Rattus norvegicus: one gene and its partners. The protein of the gene in region 7 interacts with the protein of the main gene of each other region in a biochemical or structural test. Links are inferred from orthologs where the notes say so. Each region holds a gene or a part of one and is shown on either strand. Other genes may lie near its edges.

What was found.
Region 1: the proteins of Nherf2 (region 7) and Cftr form a complex in vitro, tested with the Homo sapiens proteins (4 studies listed by BioGRID and IntAct, with this or other methods). The link is inferred for Rattus norvegicus from reciprocal best matches to the Homo sapiens genes NHERF2 and CFTR.
Region 2: the proteins of Nherf2 (region 7) and Kcnj1 form a complex in vitro, tested with the Homo sapiens proteins (2 studies listed by BioGRID and IntAct, with this or other methods). The link is inferred for Rattus norvegicus from reciprocal best matches to the Homo sapiens genes NHERF2 and KCNJ1.
Region 3: the proteins of Nherf2 (region 7) and Podxl form a complex in vitro, tested with the Homo sapiens proteins (3 studies listed by BioGRID and IntAct, with this or other methods). The link is inferred for Rattus norvegicus from reciprocal best matches to the Homo sapiens genes NHERF2 and PODXL.
Region 4: the proteins of Nherf2 (region 7) and Sgk1 form a complex in vitro, tested with the Homo sapiens proteins (2 studies listed by BioGRID, with this or other methods). The link is inferred for Rattus norvegicus from reciprocal best matches to the Homo sapiens genes NHERF2 and SGK1.
Region 5: the proteins of Nherf2 (region 7) and Pth1r interact in a test that uses a peptide from one of them, tested with the Homo sapiens proteins (2 studies listed by BioGRID and IntAct, with this or other methods). The link is inferred for Rattus norvegicus from reciprocal best matches to the Homo sapiens genes NHERF2 and PTH1R.
Region 6: the proteins of Nherf2 (region 7) and Slc26a3 form a complex in vitro, tested with the Homo sapiens proteins (2 studies listed by BioGRID and IntAct, with this or other methods). The link is inferred for Rattus norvegicus from reciprocal best matches to the Homo sapiens genes NHERF2 and SLC26A3.

What each region holds. Positions count from the first base shown.
Region 1 is NC_086022.1:47,586,412-47,590,504, forward strand, and holds part of Cftr (cystic fibrosis transmembrane conductance regulator), read left to right. Parts: intron 1-604; coding exon 605-768; intron 769-1,647; coding exon 1,648-1,773; intron 1,774-4,093. UniProt on the Homo sapiens protein: Epithelial ion channel that plays an important role in the regulation of epithelial ion and water transport and fluid homeostasis. Mediates the transport of chloride ions across the cell membrane.
Region 2 is NC_086026.1:39,059,928-39,064,571, reverse strand, and holds the start of Kcnj1 (ATP-sensitive inward rectifier potassium channel 1), read right to left. Parts: upstream 2,932-4,644; 5' UTR 2,783-2,931; coding exon 2,747-2,782; intron 1,567-2,746; exon of another isoform or gene 1,445-1,566; intron 671-1,444; coding exon 1-670. UniProt on the Homo sapiens protein: Inward rectifier potassium channels are characterized by a greater tendency to allow potassium to flow into the cell rather than out of it.
Region 3 is NC_086022.1:61,107,205-61,111,297, forward strand, and holds part of Podxl (podocalyxin precursor), read right to left. Parts: intron 3,411-4,093; coding exon 3,193-3,410; intron 2,894-3,192; coding exon 2,822-2,893; intron 919-2,821; coding exon 771-918; intron 553-770; coding exon 491-552; intron 278-490; coding exon 110-277; intron 1-109. UniProt on the Homo sapiens protein: Involved in the regulation of both adhesion and cell morphology and cancer progression. Functions as an anti-adhesive molecule that maintains an open filtration pathway between neighboring foot processes in the podocyte by charge repulsion.
Region 4 is NC_086019.1:24,798,744-24,802,277, forward strand, and holds the end of Sgk1 (serine/threonine-protein kinase Sgk1), read right to left. Parts: intron 3,302-3,534; coding exon 3,206-3,301; intron 2,657-3,205; coding exon 2,501-2,656; intron 2,398-2,500; coding exon 2,308-2,397; intron 1,899-2,307; coding exon 1,731-1,898; 3' UTR 648-1,730; downstream 1-647. UniProt on the Homo sapiens protein: Serine/threonine-protein kinase which is involved in the regulation of a wide variety of ion channels, membrane transporters, cellular enzymes, transcription factors, neuronal excitability, cell growth, proliferation, survival, migration and apoptosis.
Region 5 is NC_086026.1:119,592,628-119,597,415, forward strand, and holds the start of Pth1r (parathyroid hormone/parathyroid hormone-related peptide receptor precursor), read right to left. Parts: upstream 2,945-4,788; 5' UTR 2,900-2,944; coding exon 2,825-2,899; intron 2,646-2,824; exon of another isoform or gene 2,542-2,645; coding exon of another isoform or gene 2,530-2,541; intron 1-2,529.
Region 6 is NC_086024.1:53,761,092-53,765,184, reverse strand, and holds part of Slc26a3 (chloride anion exchanger), read right to left. Parts: intron 2,633-4,093; 5' UTR 2,544-2,632; coding exon 2,413-2,543; intron 1,905-2,412; coding exon 1,765-1,904; intron 1-1,764. UniProt on the Homo sapiens protein: Mediates chloride-bicarbonate exchange with a chloride bicarbonate stoichiometry of 2:1 in the intestinal epithelia. Plays a role in the chloride and bicarbonate homeostasis during sperm epididymal maturation and capacitation.
Region 7 is NC_086028.1:14,174,528-14,179,098, forward strand, and holds the start of Nherf2 (Na(+)/H(+) exchange regulatory cofactor NHE-RF2), read right to left. Parts: upstream 2,993-4,571; 5' UTR 2,918-2,992; coding exon 2,705-2,917; intron 465-2,704; coding exon 264-464; intron 1-263.

The DNA of each region.
Region 1 (4,093 bases), on a different chromosome or scaffold from region 7:
TGGGAAAGCTTAGTTTGTAGCAGAGCACCATTCTGAGGTCAGGTAAAATTGCCCAACTCAAACATACCTCAGCTTGCTCTTAATAATGGTTTTCAAAACTTAATCCTTATCAGACTTAGTTTGCTTCCTTTTAGTATAATACTTTAAATTGTTATTTAATTTGGCTAAATATGATACTCTGAGCCATTCTTGTTCTGTGCTGTCTTATGTCACAAGTAAATTCAAGGTCCTTGAGGACAGATACCATGTTTTATTTATCTTTGCATTTCTAGTATTTAATATAGCAAGTGTTAAATAAAGTTACTGTTGAATTGAGTACTTGTTCCCACATGTTCTATATGATGACCCTAGCTTCATTTTAAAAGGGCATTAATAAAACCTGGGCACAATTTTAAAGATGTACTATCTCAATTCCATGGTTAAAAACAATGCAGCAACTGTGCATCAATTAAGCCCAATACATACATTGTAGTATTCTCAGAACTGTGAATTTCGTGATTGGATAGATCTCCAGTGCTCTTTTCTTCCATATGTGTTTCTTCACTTGGGTTTCAGGGTAGAGTGTAATACGCCACTTGATTTTCTCTATGTTTTTATTTTTCAGGGACTTGCCTTGGCACATTTTATATGGATTGCTCCTTTACAAGTGGTTCTTCTGATGGGGCTTCTCTGGGACTTGTTACAGTTCTCAGCCTTCTGTGGCCTTGGTTTACTGATAGTCTTGGTTATTTTTCAAGCTATCTTAGGGAAGATGATGGTGAAGTACAGGTAGTGATCTTTGTCAAAGTCTGAAGGAATTTGAATTGAGCTTCTCTATGCCCTGACAATAAAGCCCTGCCATATCACTTAGAAGGAATTATTTAATTGTATAAATAATTATTTCTATAGCAAAAGGGTAATTATTTTCTCTATTGGTCTACAGAATTTCTTTGTGCAGATTTTAAGATTCAGTACATTTTTATAGTCATTAAACTTAGGTAAAATGGATATTGCACCTATATGAACTGGAAGGAATGCCTAAATTCTGTATGGAGTGACCTGGCCTCTTCCACTCCATATTGTAGACCATTCTACCAAAGCTTTTATTACTTGTATTGGTCATATGAGTTATGCGATGTGCTTATTACGGAGAATTTGTAGTTTGCATGTTTCAATGTGATAGAAAGTTAAAAATCTGGGACACAGACAGAATTTTGTTTAAGTTTGTATATACTTTCATTTGCCTCATGAAATGGAAGTGATCACCTCTTAGAGACTTTGTGTAGGATTGGATTAGAGACATTGTCCAATGTTCATCTATTGTGGGTATCTGACATTCTGGAGACATGTGCTAAATGGTACAATTCAATTCATTTTTTTTCTTCCTGTTTTTCTGAGACAGGGCTTCTCTCTGTGGCCTTGGCTGTCCAGGAACTCACTCTATCGGCCAAGCTAATCTAGAATTCAAGAGATCTGCCTGACTTTGCCTCTTGAGTGCTAGAATTAAAAGTGTATTCTACCTGGCTAGACTTTTCTGTGTTACCAACTGTTTAATAACAATGTTTGTGTAATAAAAATATGGAATTTCTTAAAAAATTTGAATAGTTACTAGTAGGTAATTTAACTTGTTTCAGTTATTGATTGGTCAATCAATTGATTGGTTTACAGAGATAAAAGAGCTGCAAAGATCAATGAAAGACTTGTGATCACATCAGAAGTTATTGACAATATCTATTCTGTTAAGGCATATTGTTGGGAATCAGCGATGGAGAAGATAATTGAAAGCTTGAGAGAGTAAGTTGACATAATTACAATATTGGTCCAATTTTATATTTAACATTTAAAACTGACCACTCAGGTGGATGTTCAACTTGTCCAAACTCTCTAAAACTCAAGCATATGTCCTGAGTTTTACAGTGGTTTATCCATCATTTGCATAAAATTATTTTGATTATTTCTTTTATGTTTTGAGACTGGTCTCACTATGTACCCTTTGCTACCATAGACTTCAGTATGTAGATCTAGAACTTAAAGGCGTGTCCCACCACACTGTTCCTTGGCTTATGGTTTTACAGTTGATTTGGTTTTTCTTTTGTAGTATATGGATAGTTATCTCTTACTAATGATTCTTCTATACTAGTTCATAGTTTTCATACTCTTAATTTAAATAATGATGAAGATGGTGAGTCTAATTAAAACCATAAGTGGAAATACTAAAATATATAGTTCTGAGAGAAAGGGGTGATCCTGTATGACACTGTACTTCAGGTGTTATGACTTACAAAGAATGGGTGACAGCCACATTTGAGCAACTTCTACCTGTGATTTTGAGCCTGAGGAATAATGACAAAAAAAATTTTCCTTAGTGTTAACTCATAAGGGGCTAAGTCAGTCCCTGTAACAAAAGCCACCTCCTGAGATGCAATCTTAACTTAGCACCTGTGTATGTCCCCTCTTCTTTCACCTCAGATAACCTTTTGCAGATGAGTAAAGATTACCTCTAGATGTCCCCTACCAAAAAAAAAAACCCATAAAAGTACAGCCCAGACTGATACATAATTACTGAGATAATTTTGGGTAAAAGAAAAATGAATATTGTTGTAGCCATGTAACATTTTTCTTTAGTTGACTTCCCTGTCCTTCCAATAACAGTCAAGGAAATGTTTTAGACTTCTGGGGGTGGATGCACCATAAAGGATACTACTAATTTAAAGATATAGGGTATTTGAGTATTTGACAGGGACAAGGAAATGCAGAGTGCTCTTTGCAATGGGTTATTTCATGTTCAGATGGCTGTGGACCTGAGGACAGTGGCAACTGAGCCACAGGTGTGTGATTGGAACAACAGTGGAAATGCTGAAATGTTAAGTCCTTTGCCGTGTAAATAAAAAGTGCAAAAGAGTATTTATTTTTCAAATATTATTGGTCACCTGTTTTTGTTATGCTTTTCAAGGTAAATCCAGGAAAGGAACTACATTTTCTTTCCAGAAACATCCTTAAAGGTCTTGGGGAATTGTTGAGTTGATGAAAGTTGTTTTTCACATTAACAAGTTGAGTGTGTCCTCACACTCTGCCAGGAAACAGTCACTGTAGGGCTTAGGAGGTTATCAGAGTATCCGGTTTCTCAGGCTTCACAATCAACTTGCAGAAGCTTGTTCCTGTGCCTGACAGTTTTTTGTTTCTTTTCTTTGCTGTTTTGTTTTTTGGTTTTGTTTGTTTGACATTGGTGTTTTGCCCTACTTTTCCTTACGTGATGGAATCTATCTTTCCTATTCTGTATTTCGGGTTGGTTAATTCTGATAGCTAGAATTTGTCTGGTTGTAACCTGTTTGATACAGCATGAAATTGTTACCTGAAAAGGCTGGAGAGTTCTGACGTAAAAAGGAAAGCAAGAATTGCTTTACTCAGCAGAGCAAATACAATGTTCTAGGAGAGACTGACGAGATGCTCTTATAAGGATGATTACCTCAGCCTAGGCTACTGTTGAACTGGGCCAAAGGCTATGCAAATGTTCTTGAAAATTTTGCCTTTTATTGCTTTTTAGCAATAAAGGCACTTTCAATTTTTTATAAGAAACTAATAGAATATTTTCATGACATAAAATGTTAGGGATTTTATATCAGTTTCTAGATGATTCTGGTAAGTTTGGATTGATTATTCTTTTTCCTTACTTCTCATTTTTCTCAGCTGTTCTAATATATTTGAACAATTTTGACACTTTACTACTATTTGTAAACAATTCTCTCCTTAGCCTCATGAATATATGTTTTATCTCTAGAAGAAAAGGGATACACATTGCCCTTTTACATCTTCTGCTATGCTGTCATCTATGCTTAACTACATCTCTACAAGGGAAGTATTAAGTTTTCTTTAGTCATGGGATCACATTTAATTAGGGGGAAAAATGGCTTCCTTTATACATAGGTAAGACAGGCAGGACCTGAATAATAGTCCACTTCCAGGACAAATTTATTGAAAGACAAAACACTACAATTCGTTAGGCTGATCACAATATAGGTTATACACATGACCTCTATCAGTGAGCTCAATAGTGCATTGTTTTCTTTGAGGACTTAAAAAATACATGGTTTTAGTACTACTACTTGACAGTAAC
Region 2 (4,644 bases), on a different chromosome or scaffold from region 7:
TGATGGTTGTCTTTAGAAGCTTGCCATATATGTGGCTGCCAATCAGAAGGCTCTTCCTAAGATTGGCCACTCGGATGAGGAGGCAGAGCTTCCCGCCACGCTTGCTGATCACCGCATTCTTGCTGAACGTAATGGTTTTAGCACGTTTTTTAGGTCTAGAGATCTTGGCTAAAATGGCACCACACATGAAGGAATTGATGATCACTCCAAGAATAGATTGGAAGATAAGCAGGAAAATGGCAGTGGCGCACTGTTCTGTCACAAACCTGAATCCGTAACCTATGGTCACTTGAGTCTCTAGAGAAAACAGAAAGGCTGAAGTCATGCCATTAATGTTCTCCACACAAGGAGTGCGGTTGTCAGGCGGGTAGAACTCTGGGAGGTCCTTATGAACATACGCTACGACATACCACAGGAGACCAAAGAGGAACCAACTCCCCAAGAAGGCTGTGATGAACACGGTCATTTTGTACCTCCATTTCAGGTCCAGCACAGTTGTCCAGATGTCCACAAAGAATATAAACCTTGACTGTGCATCCACATTGCCAAACTCGATGTTACATCTTCCTTCTTTAGAGACCAGCCTTGCCCGTTGCCGGGAACGCCCAAATATGTGAGTGACAAACCATCTTCGGAGGTGTTTGAACATCCTTTCTGTCAGTGCCCTGATCTGAAAACATATTAGAGGGTTGGTAAGGTTATAGTTGTCGCTGTGGTAAAGGAGGTGACGCACATACAGACCCATACACCTCTGAGGAGAAAAATTCTAAATCATTAGGCTTGTTAATCATTCGCATAAACCAACTCGTCTGTTCTGGATGCCAAAATAAACTATACGTAGCCTCTATGTCACACAGAAAGTGGGAAAGACACCAAGTGGAAAGTTACTAACAGACATTATGCTCAAGTATTTCCTGACACCAGTCTGTCCCACAGGACCTTAAAAATGGGACCCATTAGAACCTTGTGCTTTTATTTATTGGATGTTATTATGCAAATCACTTCTGTTTTAAAATCTAACCTGCTGCTATGCAATAATTTTTGTAATATCATAAACCTGGAGGACTGTTCATAATTTTGTGATATATAAAAATAAGTAACTGAAAGAGAAAACTCATCAATATATCACTGTATCAATATATCCCCTAAATTGTCTTGTTTGCTGCTATCAATATATCTGGGGATATTCTGATCCAGTTCAGGTCGTCTTCTGTAAATGAAAGCACTAAGACTCAACAAGTTTCGGTGACTTCTCCAAAGACAGAGACCCAACCTACGGCTGGAAGTAGACAGCAGCTCACTGCCTTCATTCTGGACAGCTCTAGTCATGCTTGGGCTCATTTGTCAAACACCCTACCCTAAAAGTGTGCTTCCTAGAACACTTGAAGACAGGATTCACAGCCCACTGGGTGATCTCAGAAGCTCTGTCTGAGGATCTACATACCTGCTTCTACTCATCCGCCATGTTCTGCCAAGATTCCCAGCTGACATAGAATGAGGGTGGTCATTGATATTCCATACTATCAACCTGGCTCCAAGCTGATGCACGATGACTTCCCTGATGCTCTATGGAGGCAGGACCATGTTTAATCCCCATTCCTAGGCCCCACTTCCTAGTTCAGACCATTACCACTCTCTCCACCAGTACCCATGAGCTAACACATAGTAACAGAATGAAGCCCTCTTCAGAAGAATGTCTGCTCGTTTCTTATCAAGAACAGGTGTGTGTGTGTGTGAGAGAGAGAGAGAGAAAGAGAGAGAGAGAGAGAGAGAGATTTCCAGCAAAACAGTGATTGGGGCTTTCCCCTAAACAGCTAACAACAGTGAAATTCAAGGGTCTTAAGCCTAGAATACACCTTCCCCTGCTTCACCCACCCCCGCCCCTGCCAAAAAAGTCAAGGTGTGTCCATTGTGGTTAGCACTGCCTTTGTGGTATTTTTTCATTAAATGCAAAGATATTTTTAAAAATAGATCTCAAAATCCCCCTTCAGAAATGTGTTTGCTCATAAGAACTAGGAAGCGAAACCAGCTTAGTGACACATTTTAAACAAAAGTGATATCCCTCAGTGTCTTGTTCCTGGCCTTCACCCAGGTAAACATAGGCAGTGGTCACACCAAGTGGAGGCTGTGAGAGGAAAACCACAGCCCGTAGTGGTGTTTTGAAGTGTAAAGGCCAGGCACTAAAAATAAGGAGAAGAAAGAGTTACCAAGAGAGTCAAACAAGCCCTGCACACACTCAGGGCTCTATCCATCCCTGTCTGACTGCAAGTCTCCAAGAGTCAGACTAGGAGATAGTCCCAAGTGAGGCAGAGAGGCCAAAGGCTTCTTCTCCAGCTACTCCTGTGCACTGCACATGCACCTGACCCATACTCGATGGTGACAGATCCTCCCGTCCAGGCATGTGGAAGCTCATGTTTCCTCACAGATTTTCTTACCTATTAGCAATTCTAAGGCCAGCATTATCCACAGAATCCATACAATCTCCACCACACATTACAATTCAAGATGACTTGTAAAGCATCAACTTCCGAGCTTTCCTTGCCCTCCTCCCTTCTCCGCCCTTCTAAAGTTTGCTTCAGTTTGAAAGTGAAGGGCACTTCTGTAAAGTGAAGACATGTCCCCAGTAAGTTTGGGTTTTCCCTCGACTGTGTCAGCAAAATAAAACATTCACTTCCTGGCCTCGCAAGTGGTAAAACAGGAGCAGGCAGTGGCCGCATAGTGCGTTCCTCAGATAATCCACACTTACCAGCACTCTGAACACACTCCGTTCCGAAGCGCCCATGCTGGGCAAAGCAAGCAAGTGGTGCTTGTTCGACGTTGTCTGCACAGCAGCTGTCTTCTTTTAGGCCCACCTTAATGAATCTTAAGCTTTGGAATGACATTTACTTGCATTGGCTTTCAATGGCTAACTCGAGTGGAGTTGTGTGATTGGAGCCAACACAAGTGGATGTTCTCAGACCGAGCCTGAAGTCAGGTATACATATATATATTACTTTACACCTCACATGGCTTGAATACCGTCATGCTAAGACATAACAAACAACCAGCTGAGGTCCTGGGCAGCAGACGTGGATTGGGTGCCAGCGAGGCCCCCCTCTCCTTTGCCACGCTCTATAACCCTCTTACTGTTCTCCTAAGTCACGCCAAATAACATTTGGCTTAGAAACACTTACTTATCGTTCATCTCCCAGCCATTTTTCTGAAACACACTGAATACTAACCTTTCCAGGTGATCACAAAGATACAGATGGATGGAGGGTCACAGATGGGGACATGTTTGCAAGACAAGAATAAGATCAGACCAGGAAGAAACAAGATACCACATTAATCTCGCTCGACAACAGCCACTGTTATATAAGAAATGTGAGATATTGTTGTGAAGTTTAATCTGGAAAAACTGGACTTTACTGGGGCTGAGCTTTACACATACGGGATTATCCTACGAGGTTGAGTTCTTTGCTGAAAGAGTGAGGAGAACTAAGCTAGCCCAAGGAAAGAGGTAAATCCATCCACTAACCAAACCCATCAGTCACACGGAAGCTCTGCTATTATGCAGATCTCACTTTGCTTGGACTATGCCATTTAATGTAACCACAGACAGAGCCGATGTGCATTTATGAGCGGTTGGGCAATTAGAGATTATCGTTGGTGTCTTAGGTTATATAATGTGCCCTAGCGTTTAGGTTCCTTTCTATTGAAATCAGTAAATCTTAATAACAAGCAAAGGGCTTCACGTTAGCTAATATTTACCCAGGTATCCTTGGTGGCTGGCAAAACAAGTAGATTATATTCTTGCTGCTTGCTCTTTATGCCCTAGCCTTCTTATTCTGTAAATAGGACATTGGCAGAAAACAGGACTTTGCCCTACACTTCCTGCTCATTGGCTGTCTGCTTATTCCTTAGAATTTGAAAAATAAACAGTCTTCCTGTACTCAAGGGGCTCATAGTGAAATGAGGAGATGAAATGAGCATGTTGGAACCCACTGTGGTCTGTGACCCCCCCCAAAACAACTTCTCTGCTCAATTTCTCATCAGCTATGGATCCAGCAACTGAGGATGTTATTTCAACCAATTGCATACGCCTTTCTGTATATATTAACATATTCATCTATCATTCATCCACGGCGATGTGTTGACATTGCTGTATGTATCAGTCACTGTGCTGGACATCACAGAAGCAATGCCTGTGGACACTGTCCTTGACAGCCTGCAGCTTCCAGGTGGGCTAGGGAAGATGAACAGACACAGAGGACTGTCACTGTGATATGAATCATCAGGTACCCTCTAGACAGTGCCAATTGAGAACAGAGCAGTGACAAAGAAGCCAGCCCCTAAAGATAGTTAGAGTCGCAGGTAGCAAGAACTCCACAAATGAGTTGTGCTAAATAAGTAAATAAGTAAATAGATGAGTGTAACGTTGAGAACTGGCAGTTGCCCATAGTACCATCAGCTCCTCCTGCAGAAAAGCTATCTTAGGAGAGGCGTTCCTGTGCACTACAGTGGCTACCCTGCATTTAGTTGTGTTCATGACTCCTGCAGGAGTAACAGAAGAAAAGCAAGCACGTGAGAGGAGAAAGAAGATCCAGGGAAACCAGAGTCCTAAAGGAGATTGGTACAGACTAGGACTGGAAAGTCAGATGGGGG
Region 3 (4,093 bases), on a different chromosome or scaffold from region 7:
TGGCTTGATAGTGGGGACCTTGTTCAAAGGGTCCAGGCCCACTCATGTGGAGGGACCCAGTGAAAGGTGCACTGGGTAACGGGGCTACCTAGAGTAAGAAAATACCCACTTGGTCCTTCCTCTGGGAGATCCGCTGGTGACAGCAGCCGTAGAGGGCAGCAACGAGGAGCAGGAAGGATGCCATGCAGACGATGGTGATGATGAGAGGAAGGCTGAAGCGGTCCTCGTTGACTTCTGGAGGTCCTTCCTTCCCCAGATGAATGTCGATGACTCCAGCCTGCCGAGACACAGAACTTAAGTGGCAGGAAACAGAGTCCGGACCTCCTGTCCCCACTCTAGTCAAATGGGAGCCCTTCTTCTGTGTCTGCTGCCCCATCCTACTGCCCACCCTGTCCACTGGGATGTGCCTCTCCTGTATACTTATACCATCAAAGGGCCTCTTACACCAGAGGACGCTGGGCTTAGGACAGTACAGGGCAAAACTTCTTACCTCTGTCAGGTCGTCCCATTTGTCCTTCAGCAGTTCAAACACAGCCTTAGGAGAAAGCTTCGCTGTGGGAGAGACAGAGACCAATGCCTCCAGAGTCCAGCCCAGAGTGAAATGGCAGGGGCAGAGCGGGTGCCCCAAGAAGAGGATGTCCTGTATCCCAGTCCCTCTGGTCTCCTGGGATGGTTGCTGGCTTGTATATTTTTAGATGCCTCCACTCCCCAACCATTCTTCTGGGGCACCCCCGCCCGCACAGGCCCAGGTCCCCTCACTCTCGACTCACTCTCAATAACGATTCTCTTCACTGCCACCGCCTGGTTGTCTAGAATGGGGGCCAGCTCCAGAGCACACGAATCCTCAGCTGGCTTGAAGGAGGCTTTGGCTGAGTGACACAGCAGTTCCAAGAATCTTTCATTTGGAGGGCTCCCCTTCTAGTGTACAGAGAACACAGGTGATTCCCAGGCTGTGCCATGACTGCTTGGGCTTCTGAGGCTGCCCCCTGCCCACTCAGCCTGCAAGAGTCCCTTCTCCATGCTTCACTGCTGCTACTCTAGGAAGTAGCACCAGTGATCGCCGGGAATTAAGTTTTGTATTTTTCTCTCAGGTTAGTCCTTATCCTCTCAATCTCATTCCAAATTCTTTTCCCATTCCCCTCAGCCTGGACATCTTGTCTGCATGTCACCCCCGAGGCTTCCTCTGTCCTCCCTGCAAGGTCCCGGAGGCTCTGGAACCAGTGACTGTATTATGCCTCAGCTAGGAGTGGGATAAAACAGGGTATAGGAGCTGTGGCACTCCTCCACCGCCAGGGGAGAGAGGCAATGCAGGGATTGAAACCTGCCAGTCTCTAGCCTCTTGTCGCCACCTCAGGCTGAGAGGGAAAGAGAAGCACACAGGTTCTGGGGATATCCACAGTGTTACGTACATGGACCTAAGCCCAAAGAAGACAGAAACAGGGTTTTCGGGCTGATGCTGAGGTGTAAGCTATGGGCTTTTATTTGGCACTGCCAGTTCAGGCATCGCTCACTGATGTTTTCCTTCTCTGATTCTGAATTAAATGCTAAGATTGAAAGCATGAGCTCTTGACCTTTAAGTCTCCCACATGCTACCCCCCCTACACTTCCCATATGCCAGTTCCTTTGGCCTAGAAGCGCTTTACTCCACCACCAGGAGTGGATCCAGCACTTTCCATCATCTTTTTCTAGAACAGGGAAGAATGTGTCCCAGTAACAATACATATCCGGTGGACTTCAACCTAGACATTCATCTTGGGGGCAATTTCAATGCTATTCCTGCCTTCTCACCAAAGCTCAATCCCAGAACAACGTTTCTCCCTCTAAACCTCTGATGGCCAAGTTTATGCCTCTGTAGTTCACTCAGTAAGTTACAGCAAAACAAAACCCCTGGAAGAAAATAGCAGAGCCCAAGGTCTCCAACCTAGAGAGAACCCAAGCAAGCCCTCTTCTATTCTTGATCCTAGAAGTGGCTGCAAAAATGGCAATGGCCAGTAGAGGGCAGCAACGAATCAGCTGCCTCCAGTACCAAGGAGGTCAATGGCCATGTGCTGTGCAGGTCCACCAAACCCTTGGTCCCAGAACACTGGTAGTGTGAAGGGAGCTGTACACATTTCTATACCCTCTTATATGGATCTATGCAGGGGACCAGGAACTATGGCTGCACTATCAGGACAGAGGGCGACTGCTCAGAATGTAACTCTCTTCTGAGGCCTTGGAGAGTGCTTCCTCTAGCACTCCTGTTACTTTTTTTTTTTTTTTTTGGTTCTTTTTTTTTCCGGAGCTGGGGACGGAGCTGGAGACCGAACCCAGGGCCTTGCGCTTCCTAGGCAAGCGCTCTACCACTGAGCTAAATCCCCAACCCCTCCTGTTACTTTTAATAAGAAAAGTCTCATTAAGTTGCCAGGATTAGCCTCAAATACACTTGGTGGCCAAGGCACCACTTTGACTTCAGTTCTCCTGCCTCAATGTCCTAACTAGCTGGAACTAGAGAGGGGTGGGGGTGGGGGTGGAGAAGGGGAGATGAGAGAGAGGGGGAGGGGGAGAGAGAGGGGAAAGGCAGGGGGAGGGGAGGAGAGGGGAGGGGAGGGGAGGGGAGAGAGAAAGAGAGAGAGAGAGAGAGAGAGAGAACGCGTGCAACTAGAGCAGTAAAAGTGGTGGCGCGTGCTCTGCGCATGCTCTGCACATTCTCTGGGCCTGAAGCAGGCCTGTGTGCACTGCCTGACTTAGAGAAGTCTAAACTTGGATGGGAAAAGACTATTCTCCCTTTCAGGAGCTCACGTACTGGGTGGGATGTATGGTGAACTCAGGCATGTGTACTCACACAAAAGCTGTCTCTTGTGAGGTTCAGAATGAGGAGTTCCTCGTGGGGCTTTATGGCAGGATCACATTTTAGCTGGAAGAGGTCAAAAGATGAAGGTTTAGGCACAGAGTCACCTGATCTTGGATTCTCCTCTTGGTGAGCGTGGGTGGCACAGGGGAAGTGCAGATAGCATGCTCCGGCCTGGCTAGTCAGTTCCAAAACCAGGAGTACCTGGTTACCCAGCCTCTTCGGAAAACTGGGTAAGAACGGAGGAAATGGGAGACAGACAACTTTTCCTTAAAGCGCCCGCCCAACCAGGGGCTCTGAGAAGGCCAAAGGAAAAGACTTCCCTTGAGTCTGGGCTTTCTCACCCCATGCTCTGCTAGAATTACCTTGTAACTCCCAGACGTCCAGGTGGAAGAGGGTGTGCTCGGGCCTTGAGAGACCACTGGAGTCCAACTAGAAGTGGAGTGTGTGAATTCTTCGGTCGTAGGCACCGACTCAGTTCCCCCTGGAGACCCCGTAGGCTGTAGTGGTGTGGAGACCGGTGTGGTGATGCCTGGCGTCGAGATAGCGATGGGCTGAGTGCCTTCAGAGGTGCCTGTCGGTTCTATAACAGACAAAGCAAAGGCGGGGGAAGCCAGCTGTACCAGCCAAGGAGGGGTCTTTTCTGGCTTTATGATTCTCACAAGCTGACACCAGTAGCAATGAAAAGGGAAAAGGCAGGAATGACAAAGTACTGTCCTGGGCCGTGGTGCATAATGAGTTAGACTTGGATAAAGTAAGAACTAAGCAGGAGTCACAGAAATTACGCTGCAGTTACCTCTCTGAGGCACAGATGGGGCCCGTGGACAGGCGAGCCACAGCTAACAAACTGTGCAAGCCTTGTAGGAGGGGCTGTGCTTGGTGTTTAAAAGGCATGTGCTCCTTTCAGGCAGTCCCTGCTTATGAGCAGGGAAACTGAACCTTGGTGACTTGTCCAAGGTCACATGGTACAACTGCAAGACTGGACGATTTGAACAGACCACTCTGAGCCTGTGCACTCTGAGCCCTGCCACAGGGTGTGGCCCTGTCTCCCAGGGCATAGGCTCATGCTCAGAAACTCCGACTCGGGATTTTAAGGCTCTCGAGCTGGCCATAGATTTAAGCACCCAGTTAAGGCTGGCACTTTTAAAACTAAGTAAGTAGAGACAGAAATAAGATTGGATGTGATGGTGCAGCATTAATCCCAGCATCTGGGAGGCTGAGGCAGACAGATCTCTTGTGAGTTTGAAGCCAGACTGGTCTACAGAG
Region 4 (3,534 bases), on a different chromosome or scaffold from region 7:
TTCCGGGAGAGCGTGTTGGGAACATGGGCATTTGTGACATGAATGTGCCCTCTTTGGTGGCACTCTATACTATTGCCCAGATTACCTTTCAGCAAACAGAGTCCGCAGCCCTGACAGAAAGCAACAACCTGTATCATGTCTCTAAGCATTCAGAGCCCAGCCCCACTTCCTCATATTTGCTTAAAGAATTACCTGTCACTTGATAAGCCCAATGTGAGGACAAGCCGTCCACAGGACCTCACGAGACAGTCAAACACAGGGAACATGATGTGATATACAATGTATGACCTTATTGCATTGTTTGGATGGATTGATGACTGGCAGCACAAAATACTGGGGGTAAAGGTAGAATATGTTCTCAGTGCTGGAGGAGATGCAAGCCAGGCCTTCACGTGCTAGCAAAAGTCCTCCACCAGAAGTTATGAGGCCAGCCTTGGCAAACTACCACCTGCCTCCCACCCACCTCCGAGGGCCCTGAAGTAAGGAAGCCACCCAATCCGTAATCCCCCTGCCTCTCCCAAGTGACAGAGATGGAAAGTGTGTGCTACTATCCCGAGCTTACCGAAATTATCTTCAAACTGATCCATTATTTCCCCCGTCCTAAATCCAGTTTACCGAAACATAACAAAGTTAAACAAGTGACACAATTTGTGCAAATAGTTTTCAAGATTTTATTGCAAACCAAAATTGGTTTCACCGCACACAAAAAAAGTTGTGTGGTGAGTAGGGGGGAGTGTACATGTTATAACCATGTTAATTACAGGACATTAAAATGATGGTTTACAAATAAGCCTGTAAGTTTAAATATCTAGTGTTATAACCCAATGTACAGACTTTCTTTACACACAATAATCAGGAATGCAAAAGAAAATGAACAAAGGTTGGGGGGAACCATAAATAATGCCCATTTTGCAGGTGACATTTTAAACAATGAAACACCAACGGCTCTGACTGACAACTGGGGCATTGGTCCATAAAAACCCTTTCTAAAAATAGAAATATTTGTAGCAGCAATGCTTCCCTCAAGCATCTGGATGCTCGTCACTGCAAGACCGTTTCAATAGGTTTTAGTTATTATATCTTACAAAAAAAAAACAGTCTGCGCATAAATTTATCTTCCAAATGTGGAAGAAACAAACAATGTCCCACATTGTAGTGTCCTGCAAGTGTCACATTGATGCTTACAACAAAACTGTCTGTGATCAGGCATAGCACTCACACTAACTGCACACATGGGAAATACGCAAGGGTTGGGAAAAAAAACGAAACAAAAAACAAAACAAAAAAAAAAAAACAAACAAAAACTGGACACTCTGCGATAGGAAAAGCTTTGGAGCTAACACAATCTCAGAAAAGGCACATTGCAGAATATTCTTGATCACAGCTCAGACCTGCGGAGATCCCTCTTAGACCTGCATCTTCCTTCTCACTGAGACCAAGGTGCGTCTCAGGCGGCACTCTCAAGCTCCTTTAGAGCTAGCACCACGTTGGAAGGAAGAAAAGAAATGAAGACCTCACTAGCTCACTGAGAGGAGGATGTGCTCTTCGGAAAGCTTCCGGAAAGCTTCCGCGTCAAGCCGCGTGCAGCGCCCGGCAGGCGGGACTGCCAAGCTTCCTGGTGTGCAAATTTCTCTTCTAAGATGTTCTGTCAGCTGGTAACTCCACCAAAGGCTAACTAAAACACTTTAGAAAAACGCTGAGGAAATCCTTCGGAACCATCCTGGGAGCTTTCAGAGGAAGGAGTCCATAGGAGGGGCATAGGAGAAGCCAAGGAAGGCTTCCGCGGCTTCTTTCACACTGGCTGTGACAAGGATGCTGTCAGGGGATCGCCCGATGGAGCTGGGGACCGGCTCCTCAGTAAACTCGGGATCAAAGTGCCGAAGGTCACTGGGCCCGCTCTGTCAAAAGAAGGGGAAGTACACTCAGCATTAAAGAGGTCACAGGGCAAAGGGCAGGAGTCCTTAAGTCCTATACCCTCCACTATGAACTTAACTCTAAAGGTTCCAAAGTTTAGAAAGATATCGTTGATTACAAAGTTTCACTATGTATCCTAGGCTGGCCTCAAACTCCTTATCCTGTTTTAGTCCTGAGGTACAGATATTACAGATACATGTTACTAGGACTGGAAACGATAATAAATGCATTCATATTCACTGAACGAATTTGGGATAAAAACATACATAAAATAATTCTCCTCTGGGATGATGGGTCAATAGATAGATGGTAGCTGCTATTTGTTTCTCCAAATTCTGACAGAAAAGAAACCTTCTGGGTCTCACTATTCTTACACCAGAAACAGACACTTACCACATTTGGGTTAAATGGGGGCGTGATCTTCTTATTAATGAGATCATCCCAGTTAATCAAAGAGAAGAAAATATGACTCTTAATCTCCATCTGTTAAAAAGAAACAGATTCATTTAGATGCGGGAGAACTCTAATATAAGGTCATGAGGTCAAGGTTTCTTCCCCCAAGGTCCCGTGACAGCAGGACACTCACAAAGTCATCCTTGGCACCCAGCCTCTTGGTCCGGTCCTTCTGCAGGAGGCCCTCCAGCAGGTGCCTTGCTGAGTTGGTGATATTTGGTTTCAGCTGGAGAGGCTTGTTCAGAATATTGTCATACATCTCGGCTGTGTTCCGGCTGTAGAACGGAGGCTGGAAAAGGAAGGGAATTCCTTCAGATTCATGGGGGATCAAAAACTGCCTCAAATCCAGAGCTGAGCAGACACACAGCAGGGAAACTATGAAGGCATGAACTGTTCCCTTTGTCTCTTCTTCCCTTCTTCCTATCCTTCTCTTTTTCCCTCCTCAGTGCTTGCTAAGCTCGTATTAAGCTGGATTTGAGCTGGTCCCTTCCCTATTTTACTGTGTGTGTGTGTGTGTGTGTGTGTGTGTGTGTGTGTGTGTGTGTGTGTGTGTGTGTGTTGGGGCTAATAATACTGGAACAGGTTAAGTAAACTGTGCAGAAGAGTTGGGAATGTTGCTCAGTACAATTTCCAGGGCCTACCCTAAGATTCAAACAAGACTATTGAAAAAAAAAATCCAGAAGACTTTATAAAACTGTAAAATGTAAAATAATCAGTGTCTCCTTTATTAGCTTTTGATAAGGCTACTGATAAGGACAAGCCACAGTACCTAACCCTGCATGAGCAGATCCACAAAGGTTTTCTAAGTGTCACGGGCATGATTCTGTGTGTTACTCACCAGGCCATAGAGCATCTCATACAAGACAGCCCCGAGGCACCACCAGTCCACTGTCCGGTCGTACGGCTGCTTATGGAGAACCTCAGGAGCGAGATACTGAAATGACACGCATCAGAAGGAGAGGTTAGCTCTCAGAACCAAGCAGTCCTCACAGTGAGCATGTGCTTTGAAAAGACCAGAACCAGAGAACTTGCTCTGAGTGTGGGGAGTGTGGGGTGTGTGTGTGTGTGTGTGTGTGTGTGTGTGTGTATTTAGATTGCTTCTTAGTTAAAACCTCTGTACTTTTGGAGGTCTATTGGTCCCCTACGTGTATACTGATATATTTAGGG
Region 5 (4,788 bases), on a different chromosome or scaffold from region 7:
ATCTCACCTCTGCCAGTCTTACACCGTGAGCCTCAAGGTCATTTCCCCATAGAGTGGCCAGGGGAATGGGCGGACTGATAAAACACATACGGCGGGTTCTAGCTCAAGACCCTATGGAAAGTCACTGCTTCATACACGTTCTTTTTAACTTTTAAAATCAAACCTCTTGGGGCCGGCCAGATGGCTTCTCAGGTAAACTACTCGCCATCTGAACTCAGTACCTGAAACCAGCATGGTAGAAGGAAAGAACTCACTCCTGCTTACACACGTAGGCACGCGCACACGCGCACACACACACACACACACACACACACACACACACACACACACACACACAAATAACAAATGTTAAAAAAAAAAAAAAGAACCATGCAGGAAATGTTGCCTGCGCAGCCAGCCTAGGAGACTACGCTTTCTCTGGAGAGCCCACACCCAGACCCGTCTCCCTGTTGTGCATCAGCTTCTGTGGCTATAGCTTCTCTAAGGCATCCTTAGGGCAAGGAATCTCATAGGAGAAGACCAGCCTTTTGCCTGCTCATAAGCCAAGGGCTTATCCCCTCCTTTAGACTTCACTCCTGTGCTCCTCTCCAGGCTTCTAAATGAGGAGGGCAGATGGACCAGGTGAGTCCAGCTGTGGCCAGTGTTCCCACTGTAGGATGCTCTTTGGTCCCCCAACCAAAGTCCTGCCGCCTGTAAGTTTGATGAAGCTGAGGTGGATGATCCTCGTCCATACCTGTACACATCTGGGTAGGGAAGGAGCCTCTGGGCTTAGGAAAGAGAAGGAGCAGGTTGCCAGCTGTTGGCTGACTCCGGCGGAGCCCAGGGATCCCACAGGTTGGTGGGTGAGTGAGTTGGCCGAATCCCTGGTCCTTGGACCTGAAGCAGGAGCAGGTCCAGTGTAAGGGCATGGTCCCTGGAGAGCCACACTAGCATCTGTCTTTCTGCCTTCAGCTTAGGGTCCTTCTAAACCAGGAAGTTCTCTGCATATACGTCAACTTCCCTACAGAGAACTATAGGGCCCTAGGAGCTCCATTCTACCACACTTAAGGTGCAGGGCTTGGCACTTGGTTAACATAAGAGACAATGGCCATAGTGATTGTGGATTTGGAGGAGATAAAAACAAAATAGGGAAAAAAAAATACCTTTCTCGGAGGATTGTGGGTAAGACTTAACTAGCTGATCTGCGTGAAGTGCTTAGAACAACGGACAGACGAACGGAAAACACAGAGGCATTTGTTGAATACAGATGAGCAAACAATAGACCCGTGTGCACACCCGCAGGGTGCACACAGGGTGCACACACACGCGCATGTACAGCTGTGCTTCCCTCAGAGTCATATGCGGATCCACAGCTCCAAGCACACGTGAACTTGGGTACGCACAATCCTACCGACCGACTCAGATGTCCACAGAGTCTTACACGGATGAACATTCTGGCACACACACCCATCGGCCGGTCTAGCAATGCACATATATGTGTGCACTCGGGGAAGTCACTGAGAGAAGTTCAGCAAACAGCTCTCTTCCCCATGTCCTGTTGGGATTATCTCCTGAACAGTGAGCTCAGGACCTCCGAACTTGCTTCCCTGTGGACAAGTTCCCTTCTGAGGCAGTCTCTGGCTCTGGCTTTCCTTTGCTGGACTAGAATTGGGGTATGGGCACAGGAAGAGGACATCAAACAGCAAAGGTGTCAGGTAAATGTTTCTCTCATGCTCTCTGTTCACTGATGGGCAACTGAGGTGTGGAGAAAGACAGTCAGTCCAAGGTCACACAAGCCATGGGCTGAGCTGGAGGGTTCTCAGAGCTCCTGTGTCCTCTGAAGGAAGCTACTGGCTCTGTCTCTCTAGACCTTGGTCAGGGTTGGGGTACAGGGACAACAGGACCTTAAAGTCAGGCATAAAAGCTGATTCAGGAGTAGGTTGGACACTTGGGATAGAACCACTAAGGGGATGAGAGGACAGAAAGTCTCCCCTCTCTGAGAAATAGCTCCCAGACCCTAGCCCAAGATGAGGTCACGGTCCAGCTCTCTGTCTGTCTGCTGTTCTGAGTCTCTCTCCTTGCTGCAGTCCAGAACTCTCATCCTAACCCCTTTCTTTGTCTGTCTAGCCCTCTCTACTTTCTTGGTATCCACTCTCAGACCACGCACAGCACCCCCCCGCCCCACCAAAAGACCAGCATGTCCTACAGTAATACCTTCTGCAAAGTGTACTATGAGATCAGTCTCTTTCAGGGGACCTCCGTACCACACCCACCTCCCTGGGCAAACTGACTTCCACTTTGGGTAAAGCTGTCCCATTCGTGCATACATCTGTGCATCTGTAGGATCTTGGGAATTGGAGAGGGCTCTAAATCCCACCCTCAAATCCTAAGAAGTCTAAGTGATTTCTGACTTCTTGCACACAGCTTTAAGCACCGGGTGCAAACAAAACTTGCGAAAACGGAGCCCTCCCTTCCCCCGCAGCGCAGTCTGTGAGACTCCACACGGAGAGCCCGCTGAATCGCACTGTTACCACTGAAAAAGATACATACGACCAGAGCCATATGCTCACAGAAGCATGGTGTAGGGAAACTCCAACCACAGGTTTCCAGACCTAGGACCCCCAAGCCAAGTCTTCAGAAGTGGGGAAACATCAGGCATCTGGAACCTACGGTAAGACACCCCAAAGACAGCAGACACCAGGGTTCCTGGTTCATGGGGGGAGGCAGAGGTCCCATCCCAAAGTTCAAACTATTAGGAGAACCCCAGAATGTGAGCCTCCACTTGTCCCAGGAACCCCAAAGCAACCCCAGGATTCCTGCGGAGTGTGCACCGAGAGAGACTTACCAGCGCATATGCGGAGCTGAGCACTGGGCAGCAGAGTAGGAGCGCCAGGCTGGGTGCGATCCGGGCGGCCCCCATCGCCACCGCCTAGGGCCGCGTCCCTCGGGGCAGCCGCCGCCGGCCCTGGTGATGGTTGGAGGGTGCAGAGCTGCGTCAGGCCGGGCCGCCCCGCCCACGTCCTGGCCTAGGGGACCCCGGCGTCCGGGCGGCCCGAGGCCCCGGAGCCCGACGCGGGGCCCATTCGCCGAGGGCGAGCGAGAGAACGAACCGGCGCAATGGAGAGAGGGAGGGCGGAGGGAGGGAGGCAGCCTGAGGCCGGGCGGGCGGCGGGCGGGCGCCGAGCGCTGCTGAGCGGCCTGTCTGCCTCGGAGCGGAGAAATCACATCCATATGGCTGGGCCCCCCGCCCCCGGCCCGCCCCCCGCTCCCCTCCCGCGCCGCCTTTTCTTTCTTTCTTTCTCTCTCTCTGTCTTTTTCCCCCCTCTTTGGGGGAACTGGGAGCCGTGGCTTCGCTCCACGCCCAGTGGGGGAGGGGCGGGGGAGGGGTCGGGGTCGCGGTCTGCGGGGGGCGACCAGGCTGTTATTTTTAGCTCCGCGGCAGTGGGCAACAGGGGAGTCGGGGCGGGGCAGGGGGCGCGTTTCGAGTTGCGCGGGGCGTGCAACTAGGGGATGCCATCCTGACTTTTGCAACGACACTGAGCCCTTTGGCGTTCCTGCCGCCAGCTCCGGGCTCTCCTGCGGCATCGTGGCCCAGCTCTCCCGCTCAGTCTGGACCCCCATGCCCTTGGTGGCCGCCACCCTCTGCACCCCCTTTCCCATCCTCCGAACCCGCGCCGCGTGCGCCCGCCCGAGAGGCACAGGCGCTTCTGCTGCCCCGACGCTGAGGCTGCACGTCTGCTTGTCAGTCGGTCCTTAGCTACCGTCCACCCCCCTACCCTCCCCGCTCTCCCCGGCCTTGGCCTCTGCTATTCCAGCGGCCCCAAGCTCGGTTTCGGTCACTCCCTCGCTCCCCCCTCCCCTCCTCTACGAAAACATTTGCAAGTTTCCAAAAAAGCCACCGAACTGAGCGGCAGCGGGGCTGGCGACTCCACAGGGCTCCGAGGAGGCGCCGCAGACTGACACGGAGACGGAGCAGCCGGGCCCGCCCTGGCCGGGCCCCGAGTCCCTCCTGCCCCATTCCGGCCTCCTGCGCCCCGCGCGCCCGACCCCCCTAACCCCCCAAGCCCCGACTTACTCCGAGCTCGCCGCCGCGGCCCCCGCCTTGCCATGAATGTCGGGCCCCCCCCGACAGCCTCCCCAAGCCAGCGCCCCGTTCGCAGTCCCGGGGAGACTTCATGGAGCTCTCGGGATCCCCCTGGCCTGCCTGGCCTCCAGAGCCCCCCGCCCGGACGCTGTTCCGAGCCGCCGCCCGCCTCGCGCGTCCCTCGCCTCGGCGTCTGCCGCTCCCCTCCCCCCGCGGCCCGGAGCCTCTTCCCTCCCTCCCCCTGCGCCCTCCCCGGGCCTCCTCCGCCCCTGCCCCCGCCACTGCCTCCCAGGCTGGTGTGTGGAGGACAGAGCCCAGCCCGCTGCCCCCCACCCCGGGACATCTCTCCAGAGACCCTCCCCCGGGTCTTTGGGCAGCAGGATGAGTGTTGCGGGGACGCAGTCTAGTGAGCTCTGACATCGGAACTTGAGAACCGTGGCTGGGACGCTGTCCCGCTTTTGCTTTATTCTTTCCTTTGGAAAAGCACAGACCACCCACCACCCCCGATCTTCCGGCCCCGGCTGATGAGCGGGCGGCTACACCAGAGGAGTCACTGGGGAGGCCGCCTAGTATTTCCCGCGCCTCGAACCGCGGCGCTGTCCGTGCACCCGTGGGGTTCCTGTTCTGGCTATGAGGGGACCCTGGGGAAGCTGCTCCGCCTCCAGCTAGAGCCAGGCTACGCAGCCAACGCCTTCGAGCCCTGCCCCGCCCTAGACTGGTCCTTC
Region 6 (4,093 bases), on a different chromosome or scaffold from region 7:
TCTGCCTAACACATAGATGCTCTGTTTAATCACAGCACTGGAAAAAAACAAAAAGGATGCTATCCCCAAAGGATTAAGCTCAGCAACAGATCACTTGCATAGCATACAGGATGCCTTAGTCTGATTCCTCAGTATTGCAAAAGAAGAGTGTTTGGGGACCTAGCTGAGGCTGAATGGTAGTATATCTGCCATGGACTTACCCTGCTCTCCCCTAATCCCATTGAAGACTCAGGAAGTGACCATAACGAGTCTCCTTTTAGACTGGGCCTGGAGGCACATGCTTGTAATCTTAGCACTTGGGGCATAGAGGGAGGAAGAGCAGAAGTTTGAGGCTAACCTAGGCTACATGAGACTTTCTCTAGTTTCAAAAACAAGTGAAGGAACAATACAGAGAATGAAAAAAAGAAAGCTGTTGGCAAATATGTATCAGATAAAGGTTCAGTGTCAGAAACATATAAATAACCCTTGCAACTCTGTAATAAAAGACAGGACCTCCTAGCCCAGGGTGGCCTCAAACATGCTATACAGTCACACTTATGATACTCCTGCCTCCACCTCCTAGATGCTGGGATTACAGGCATGAACCACTACACCTGATTACTATTGTGCTGGCAATGGAACCCCGGGCTTTGAGCATGCTGGGCAATCACTCTACCAACTAAGCACATCTCAGCCCTTCTCCTCTATCACTGAATGTTCTACTGAGCTGGAGGACCTAAAATTTTAAAATTTTATCTCCAGCAAGGAGAACTAGGGATCTAGTTCAGTCATATAGTTCTTGATTGGTTTGGGTCAGGCCCTGGACTTGATCTCCAGCACCAAACAGAAAGCAAATGAAGTAAATGATGAAGGATTTGAAGACTTATTTTTCCAAAGGCATGCACAGGAGTAGCAAGCACAAGAAAAGAGAAGATACTTAGTAAACATCATTGGTTATTAAAGAGATACAAACCAAAGCCAGGATGTGATTCTGCTGCTTCTCACCCATCAGGATAGCAAAGATAAAAAGAGAGAGAGAGTAAGCAGGACGCCTTGGAAGATCTGAAGCCACATGTGCTGGTGGGAGGGTTGGAAGTGACACAGTTGTGCACCTCTACAAATGACTAAACCCTTCCACCACAGGACCAGCACTTAGACTCCTGGGGATAGATTCAGACCATTGAAACATCTTTTTCACAGAAAGAGTTGCATACAATGGGCACAAATGTTCACAGATCGTTCGTTCATCATCCCTCTGAGTAGAAATGACTCAAAGGTTCAACCAAGTGTGGTATAAACCATGCCACAGAATGCTGTCCTTGCTACTATATGAGTAAGCCATGGTGCTAAGAGGTAAAGAATCAGATGCAGAGTGCAACAGACAATTCCATCTGCACGAAATATCCAGAATAGGAAAAATCTGTAGATTTATGGTTAAGGTGATGAGTGGAGGAAGGAGTAGGAAGGGCCTACATCAAATAAAAAAGGCTTTGGTTTGTGCATTTGTGAAGAGAAGGTAGTGGTAAATATGTTAGAATTGGTGATCTTAGATGCACAACCTCTATGAATAACCCCCGGAGTTACACATATCAAAAAGGTTGGCTGGCGTATAATGTGTCGGTAGAATGCAAACCTAGTAGGTGTGAAGCCTTGCTCTAGCGCGTGCGTGCGCACACACACACACACACACACACACAAATCACGAGAGTGAATTTTATGATATGCAAATTATATCTTCAAAATAGAAGAAAAAGTAACAGAGGAGAAAAAGGAAGACAAAGTTACCTTGCAGCACAGCCACCAGCCCAGTGCTGATGCCAGAGACGATGTCACTGAGAAGCCATTCCTTTATCTTGTATGCTGGCAACCAAGATGCTATGGGGAACAAAGACAGGGCAATTTTCTTGGCCTTTTGTGAGGAGCAGCTGAAAACATTGAAAGCCACAAGGTCAGTGAATTAATATCGATTTTAAGTCCGGCTCCTGAGAGCAAGTAGAAAGTTGACAACGATGACATCATCTTAAAGACAAAAGTGGTGACTTCACTCCCACTCACAATCGCCTCTCTGCCCCTGCCAAAAGCTTTCTGGTCACTACCAAAGAAACTTTTCTCCTTTTAAAGGAAAATGCCAGCTTTTCTTCAGCTATAAAGAACTTGTGTGCCAGTCTGAGTTGAATTGTGCAGCATTTCGACTGGGAATTTGCCTGTCTCCATCTGTTAGTCTCTGACTTGGAAGCTGTGTTTCTGCCGCTTGCTGAGAGGGTGTGTTCCCTTGCCTTTCCACCTCAGACAGCGGGGTAAGAGGTTTGGAAAGCAAGGATGGCAGATTCCTGAAGCTATGGACTTGAGCCAGAGAGGAAAACTTGAAAGCTAGAAAATTTAGAAGAAACTGCGTCGTTCCTTCCTCGTTCCAGTACTTCAGGAGTCTCTTACCTACAACACCCTTTGAGATGATCCAGGAATGTCTTGTGATGTCCGTATGTCTTCTTAAACTCCTCTCCGAAAGCCTTTGTGGAATACACCGGTCTGGCCACCACATACTGATTCCCTATGGCTTCGATCATTTTGCCTTCCCTGGTGACAGTGGCAAATGGGAAGACCTTTGAAACTATGTGGTGAGCGCTTCTTTCTGGCTGTTAGCAGGTTAAAATGCCTGAAACCAAACAGAGCTTGCTTCTTAAATAACTCAGATAATGTGATGCAATTTACAGATGAGTGAGCTCCGAACTGAATGTTACCACCTTTCGAGATCAAAAGAGGGCAGGATTAAGGGACCTGGGTCACTTTTTTTTTTTTTTCCACAGCAATACCACTTTTCCCTTCAACAAGCAGACACAACTCCTTTGGGTTAACTAAACAACGATTTCTTGTTTTTGTTTTTATTTTTATTTTGGATACAGGGTCTCACTAAGTAGCCCTGGCTGGCTTGGAACTTGGTATGTAGACCAGGCTCACCTGGAACTCACAGAGATCCACCCATTTCTGACTTCCAAATGCTGAGTTAAAGTGTAGAGCTGAAAAGCAATAAATCAACTTGGTTTACTTACTAAACAGTTCTTGAGGGTTTATCACCAACTGTTTTTTTCTACAGATATTTCCAAAGATTTGCTACTGGAACAGTGGGGCAGATCGAAGCCTAATCATTTCCCTTTGACTCTAATCAAGTTTCTTCTAATCTATTCATCAGAGCTTTGTTTTTTAAAATAAGACCTCAAAATGGTTTTAATTTGTGAAAACCAAATATATTGTCCATTTATACTCCTGTGGTTCCTGGGAGTCAAAGGAAACTATATAGAGACAAAATATAACCTTGTTTACTTCGTGAATGACAAGTTTCTTTCCAAGGAAAGACTGTGGGTGGCTGACTTAGCCTGTTTGAGACTCTGTTATACATTGGGAGATGATATCCATGGCTGTGGACTGTGAGGACTGAGGATGTTCAAAAGTTTCAAAACTTCCACTAATGTATATGACGTGCTCCAGATGTTAACCAAATGGTGGTTATTATGTAACAGTTTACATTTTCTGAGGCTGGATTATAGCTCAGTACACTTGCATCTATGAGGCCATAGGATCAATCCTATGAACTATAGAATAAATAACTGTGTAGAACAATCAATCAAAGGTGAAATAATGGGGTTGGGGATTTGGCTCAGTGGTAGAGCGCTTGCCTAGCAAGTGCAAGGCCCTGGGTTCGGTCCCCAGCTCCGAAAAAAAAAGAAAAAAAAAGGTGAAATAATATAAAATAATATTTTCTATATAAGGTAACATTTCTCAACTTGTGGGTCATGACCCCTTTGGCAAACCTCTATCTCCAAAAACCATTTATATACAATTTATAACTAGAAATATCCAGAATAGAAAAATCTATAGACTTAAGGTGATGAGTGGTTGGGGGGTCAACACATGAGGAACTGTACTAAAGGGTTGCAGCACTAGGAAGGTTGAAAACCAGTGATATAAGGTATCTAGATTTTTCTAGTTCATGTCTCTATTTTGTTTCTTTTATAGAAGAGGATCAATTTATAAAGCCCTTTATATGCATTATTAGTTTAGTACTCACAGTTAAGGCATTAACTATTAGTATCCTCATCCTACAGATGAGAAAAAATAA
Region 7 (4,571 bases):
CAGATACCTAACACAGACATTCAGATCTTTAGAGCCACAGTAACTCCTCAGCCACTGGGACCTCCAGCAGAGGGAACAAAGGCCAAAAGAGTTGCTTCAGGTGGTCACCAATGGCACAGAGTGGCTACTGCAGTAGGGAAAGAGCCCTAAGAGGAAACGGAGGCTTATAGGAGTGACCAAAGGGAAGATTGTTATCAAGAGGCAGTCAGCGATGGTGGTTCTGGGAAAGACTCATTGTTCCCACAGACAAAAGCCCACCATACCTTCTGGCCTGTGTCCGAGCCAAGACTGCCTGAGCATGCCCAGTCCGGCTTTGGCTCCCAGGGGTTGTGGGCTGGCGGAAGCCCTCGATGGGCCATCTCCTCAGTGCAGGTCAGTTGCCGCCGGCAGAGTTCCTCATCTGTCTCCTTGTCCACCACAAGCAGCTGGGTCTGTCCCTCCACAGCCTTGATCCTCTGGACCACCTGGAATGGGTGTGAAGCAGGACCCGGTCAGCAGGCAACACCCTGGGCAACACATGGATAGGGCACCACTCCCGGCTAGGCCCAGGCTCATGGACAGAGGGCAGGGGTTGGCCTGCCAGGGGTGGGTAGCTGGACTGAGAGGCCTGCGGGCTCCACCCCCCACCCCCAGTTTCCAGCAGCTCCCTCCCTCGTCTCCCTGGAGCTAGGGCCCAGGCTGCAAGTACTTCAGGGTTCTCTTGTGGCCTTGTGTTCTCGGCAGGTGGGCTCCGGAGGAGCTGCTAGGAACAGCCAGATGGGAGAGTCAGAATCTGTTTAGTTGAGCTTCAGGATTTCAGTCTGGTCTGTGCATGGGTACGTGCTTAACTGTGTGTGTGCGTGAGTGTGTGTGTGTGTGTGTGTGTGTGTGTGTGTGTGTGTGTGCATGTGCATATGTGTATGCTTTGTGTGTATGTGTGCATATATGTGTGTGCTTTCTGTACGTGTGTGTGTGTGTCTATTTTAAAGTCTGGGGTTTTGGTCCAGGTGTAGGAGAGAGCAATGTCTTTGTTGACCCCAACTTCAATTTGCCTCCAACCAGGACCAGAAACCCATCCCTGCTGGACCTGCTTAGAGGTGAAGACCTAGGAATTCTAAGGTGCTCACACACGTCAGGTAAGCAGAACTCATCTCCAGCAGGTACCGAAGCAGAACAGATCTGCGTATCTGTCTGGATGGGTTGGATGGGTGCCTGTGAAGTGTGGGCCACCGTGGATCACGCAGGATGTTAGTATGTGTTCAAAGGGAAAAGTGCCCAGTGGACATCTGAAGGGCAGGAAGCATTAACAACCCCACCCCACAGCCTGGGAGTGAAGAGGCAGGATCTCCAGCGTGACTCCATGGAGTACATACCACCACAGATATGAAGGTCCTACCCAGCCAGGCCCATCTTTACCTGGCCCCTCAGTGATCGTCCAAGATGACCAAGAGAGCAGAAGGATCCCAGCACTAAGGAGCTAAGCCAGTCACCCACAATCTCTACATATCAGTAGAATGGGAGTCTTGGTTTTGCCTCCTATCTCCCTGAGCAGTAGAAGGATTCTACTGTGGCTCTATGTGAAAGTCTTTAGAGACTAGACTAGACAGCTGCATTCCAGCGACGGCTAGACGCAGGTAATACCAACTCTGCCAGCCTCTCCCTTGCTTTTAGGGCCAACCACTGGGCTTCACTCCCAAACTCTTCAGCACACAACCAAATCCAGTGGTCACAAGGCAGGTCGCCGGGAAGATAGAAGTTCAACTTTAGCCCAGCAAAGAGCCACTCTGCTTCCTCCAAGCCTCAGGACTGACCACTCACGTAGGTCTTGGACTTAGTGGTACTAGGGTTCCAGAATAAAAAAGGTGAAGGGAGACTGAACCCTAATCAAGGTTTTAACTGTGTCTACCCCTCGGTGGAATACGGACATCCCAGAGGTAGGATCTGCAGAGAGACTCCGCCACATCAGCCCTCCTCCTTCCAGCTGCCAGCAGGCAAGGGTTGCACAGTGACCTCTACAGGGCCAGGCAGCTCCCAGGAGGAGGCTTTTTCTGAGCCCAAGGAATAGGCTGCCACTAGAGCTGACTCCACCAGACCCAGACACACCAGCCATGAGAAGTACACTAGTATAACCAGGCAGGCAGGCACTCGTGAGCTCGCACAGGCGCGCGCACACACACACACACACACACACACACACACACGCACAGAGTCAGCACACATACCTGATGTGTCTACACAAACCTAAGCACACATTCCAGCACTGACACAAGTATGCTCTCAGCCACTCCTGGAACACTTGGGTAGTGTATTCATATGGATGACCCCAGGGAGACCCGCAAGCACACACACATAACTCACACACGAACAGAAATGCATCTATACCACAAGGCCACAAGGTGCCTTCACCACCTCCTCCCCCTCCATGGCACACGGAGGCCAAAACTAGCAGAAGCAGCCAGGGCCCTGGCCAGAGTAGCCGCAGTGCGGCCCCTCCCTACCAGGATGTCCTCCCTCCCCCGCTTGTGCAGGACTGAGCTTCCTCACCAGGAGGCCAGCTGGCGGGCCACGTCCCACACCTCAGTACCCGAACAGCAGGCCCCCATGGGACCCTTGACCGGTCCCACGATAGGGCACGCCGAAGGGTGGTCGAAGGCATCTTGGCCAGCGCAGTAGGGATGCGCCCCTAGGAGGGAACCGGGGGGCGGGGCGCAGCGCAGGGACCCACCTGGTGATGCGTCTCGCCCTCTACGTTGACGCCGTTGACCTCAACCAGGCGGTCCCCGGCGCGCAGCGCGGCCGCCTCGGCTGGGGAGCCTGGCTCCACGCGCCGGATGAACTGGCCACGGCGGCCTTTCTCGCCATGCAGGTGGAAGCCGTACCCTTGCTCGCCCCGCACCAGGCGACACAAGCGGGGCCGCAGCGACTCCGGCGCGGCCATGGCACCCGCTGCCCCCTGGCTGCCCGCGACTGGCCACGGCTCACACCACCCGCAGGCTGGAGCGCGGAGGCGGCAGAGGCGCGGGCGGGAGAGCAGGCAGCGGCCTCGGTGGCTCCTGCTCAGCTCGCGTCGCCTCGGGCTCCGACTTCGGCTCTGGCCCTGGCCCCTGCTCCTGCTGCAGCACCGCCCCCGCGCCCGCCCCTTCCCCGCCCTCCTGGCTGCCCCCGCCCTAGCCTAAGCCCCGCTAGCTAGGCCCCTGCCTGGGCGCCCAGAAACCCTAGGACTAAGGAGTGGGATTTCGCGGTCAGGCAACCCTCGAGTTCCTGGGAGTCCTATCTTATCCCATTTGGTCACCTTCCCTAGCGCCAGCACCTTTGGCTTCTGTTCCAGGAACCACTTTTTTTTTAGACACCTGCATATGCTACAGTGAGAGGGGTTCCTGAAATGGGAAGCCTCTTAGAGAAAGGGTCCAGTCAGAGACACACTACACAGACGCCAGAGGGGAAGTGCAAGGACCACTGCGCCCCTTCCTGGGATGCACCCCACCCTCTACCTATCGGGACTGTGCTGCCTGCTCCCTCTAGGTCCCCAAAGTTGTCTCATCCTGACCCAGAGAGCAACAGGCAAGAATAAGAAATTTAAAGAGACTACAGCAACCAAGGTCTTTGGGGCCAGCAAGTAGGTGGCCCCTGTTCCACCCAGCAAGTGTCTGTCTTCCGTATTCCCCTGTTTTTTGGGAACATGAGTTTATCTGGCAGAGATGGGAGGTATGTGCTGCCTTCCTCTAGACCCAGTATGAACTGTGCTAAGGACTTTGGCCCCTGAGCTCTAGGTGGTGATCTGTTGTCCCAAATTAAGCACCACAGGGTTCCCATTCCCGGTTCCTAGGTCTGTAGTCAACACATTCTTAGATTTACAATTGCTTAAGTTCTCATCTCCCCTTACAGGACAACAGTCCCACTGAGAACCCCTTATGCATTCGTACATGGTTTTCCAAGAACAACCCTAGAGAAAACCGACCATTTTACAGACCAGGACACTGAGGCCTGGAGAAAATCCTCTACTAGAGTCCAGTACTGTGAGACTGCACTTTCACCTTAAAGCTTCCTCCCAGGCTGAGATCTCACCCGCAGCCTGCTTCTCCCCAGTGCACAGCTCCTCACTTACCTGGTCCCCCTGAGTCAGGTAAAGCCAGCTCAGACAGTTCCCCATGTGGATAGGAGATGCGCCCCTAGCTCAATGTTCTCCTCTCCCTCCCCTCTCTCCAGAGCCCTTAACTGGGGCTTTCCACCTCCACCCAAGCACTAGGACCCGCCTCTCAGCAGCATCCTAGCCTTAGCCTCTTGGGTACCCACACCCTAGTGGCTGCTCCTGAAAGGCACTTAAGCTGTAGATACATTGTTGCTCCCTGCCCCCAGCCTTCTCTGCAGATTCTAACTGATGCTGCCACAGGCTCTGGCCTGGCTGGCCACTTCCATCTATCTGTCTGCTTGCCTATCCAGAATTTGCCTGTCTGTCTTAAGATCGGTTTCTCTGGGTCAGGTCTAATGCTGGTTGCCCGTGGAGATTGTTAATATGTATAAACTGTGTGCTCCCTGGATATCCCACTCGTGTGGAACTTGGAAGTTACCCCCACAATAACCAAGAACATTCC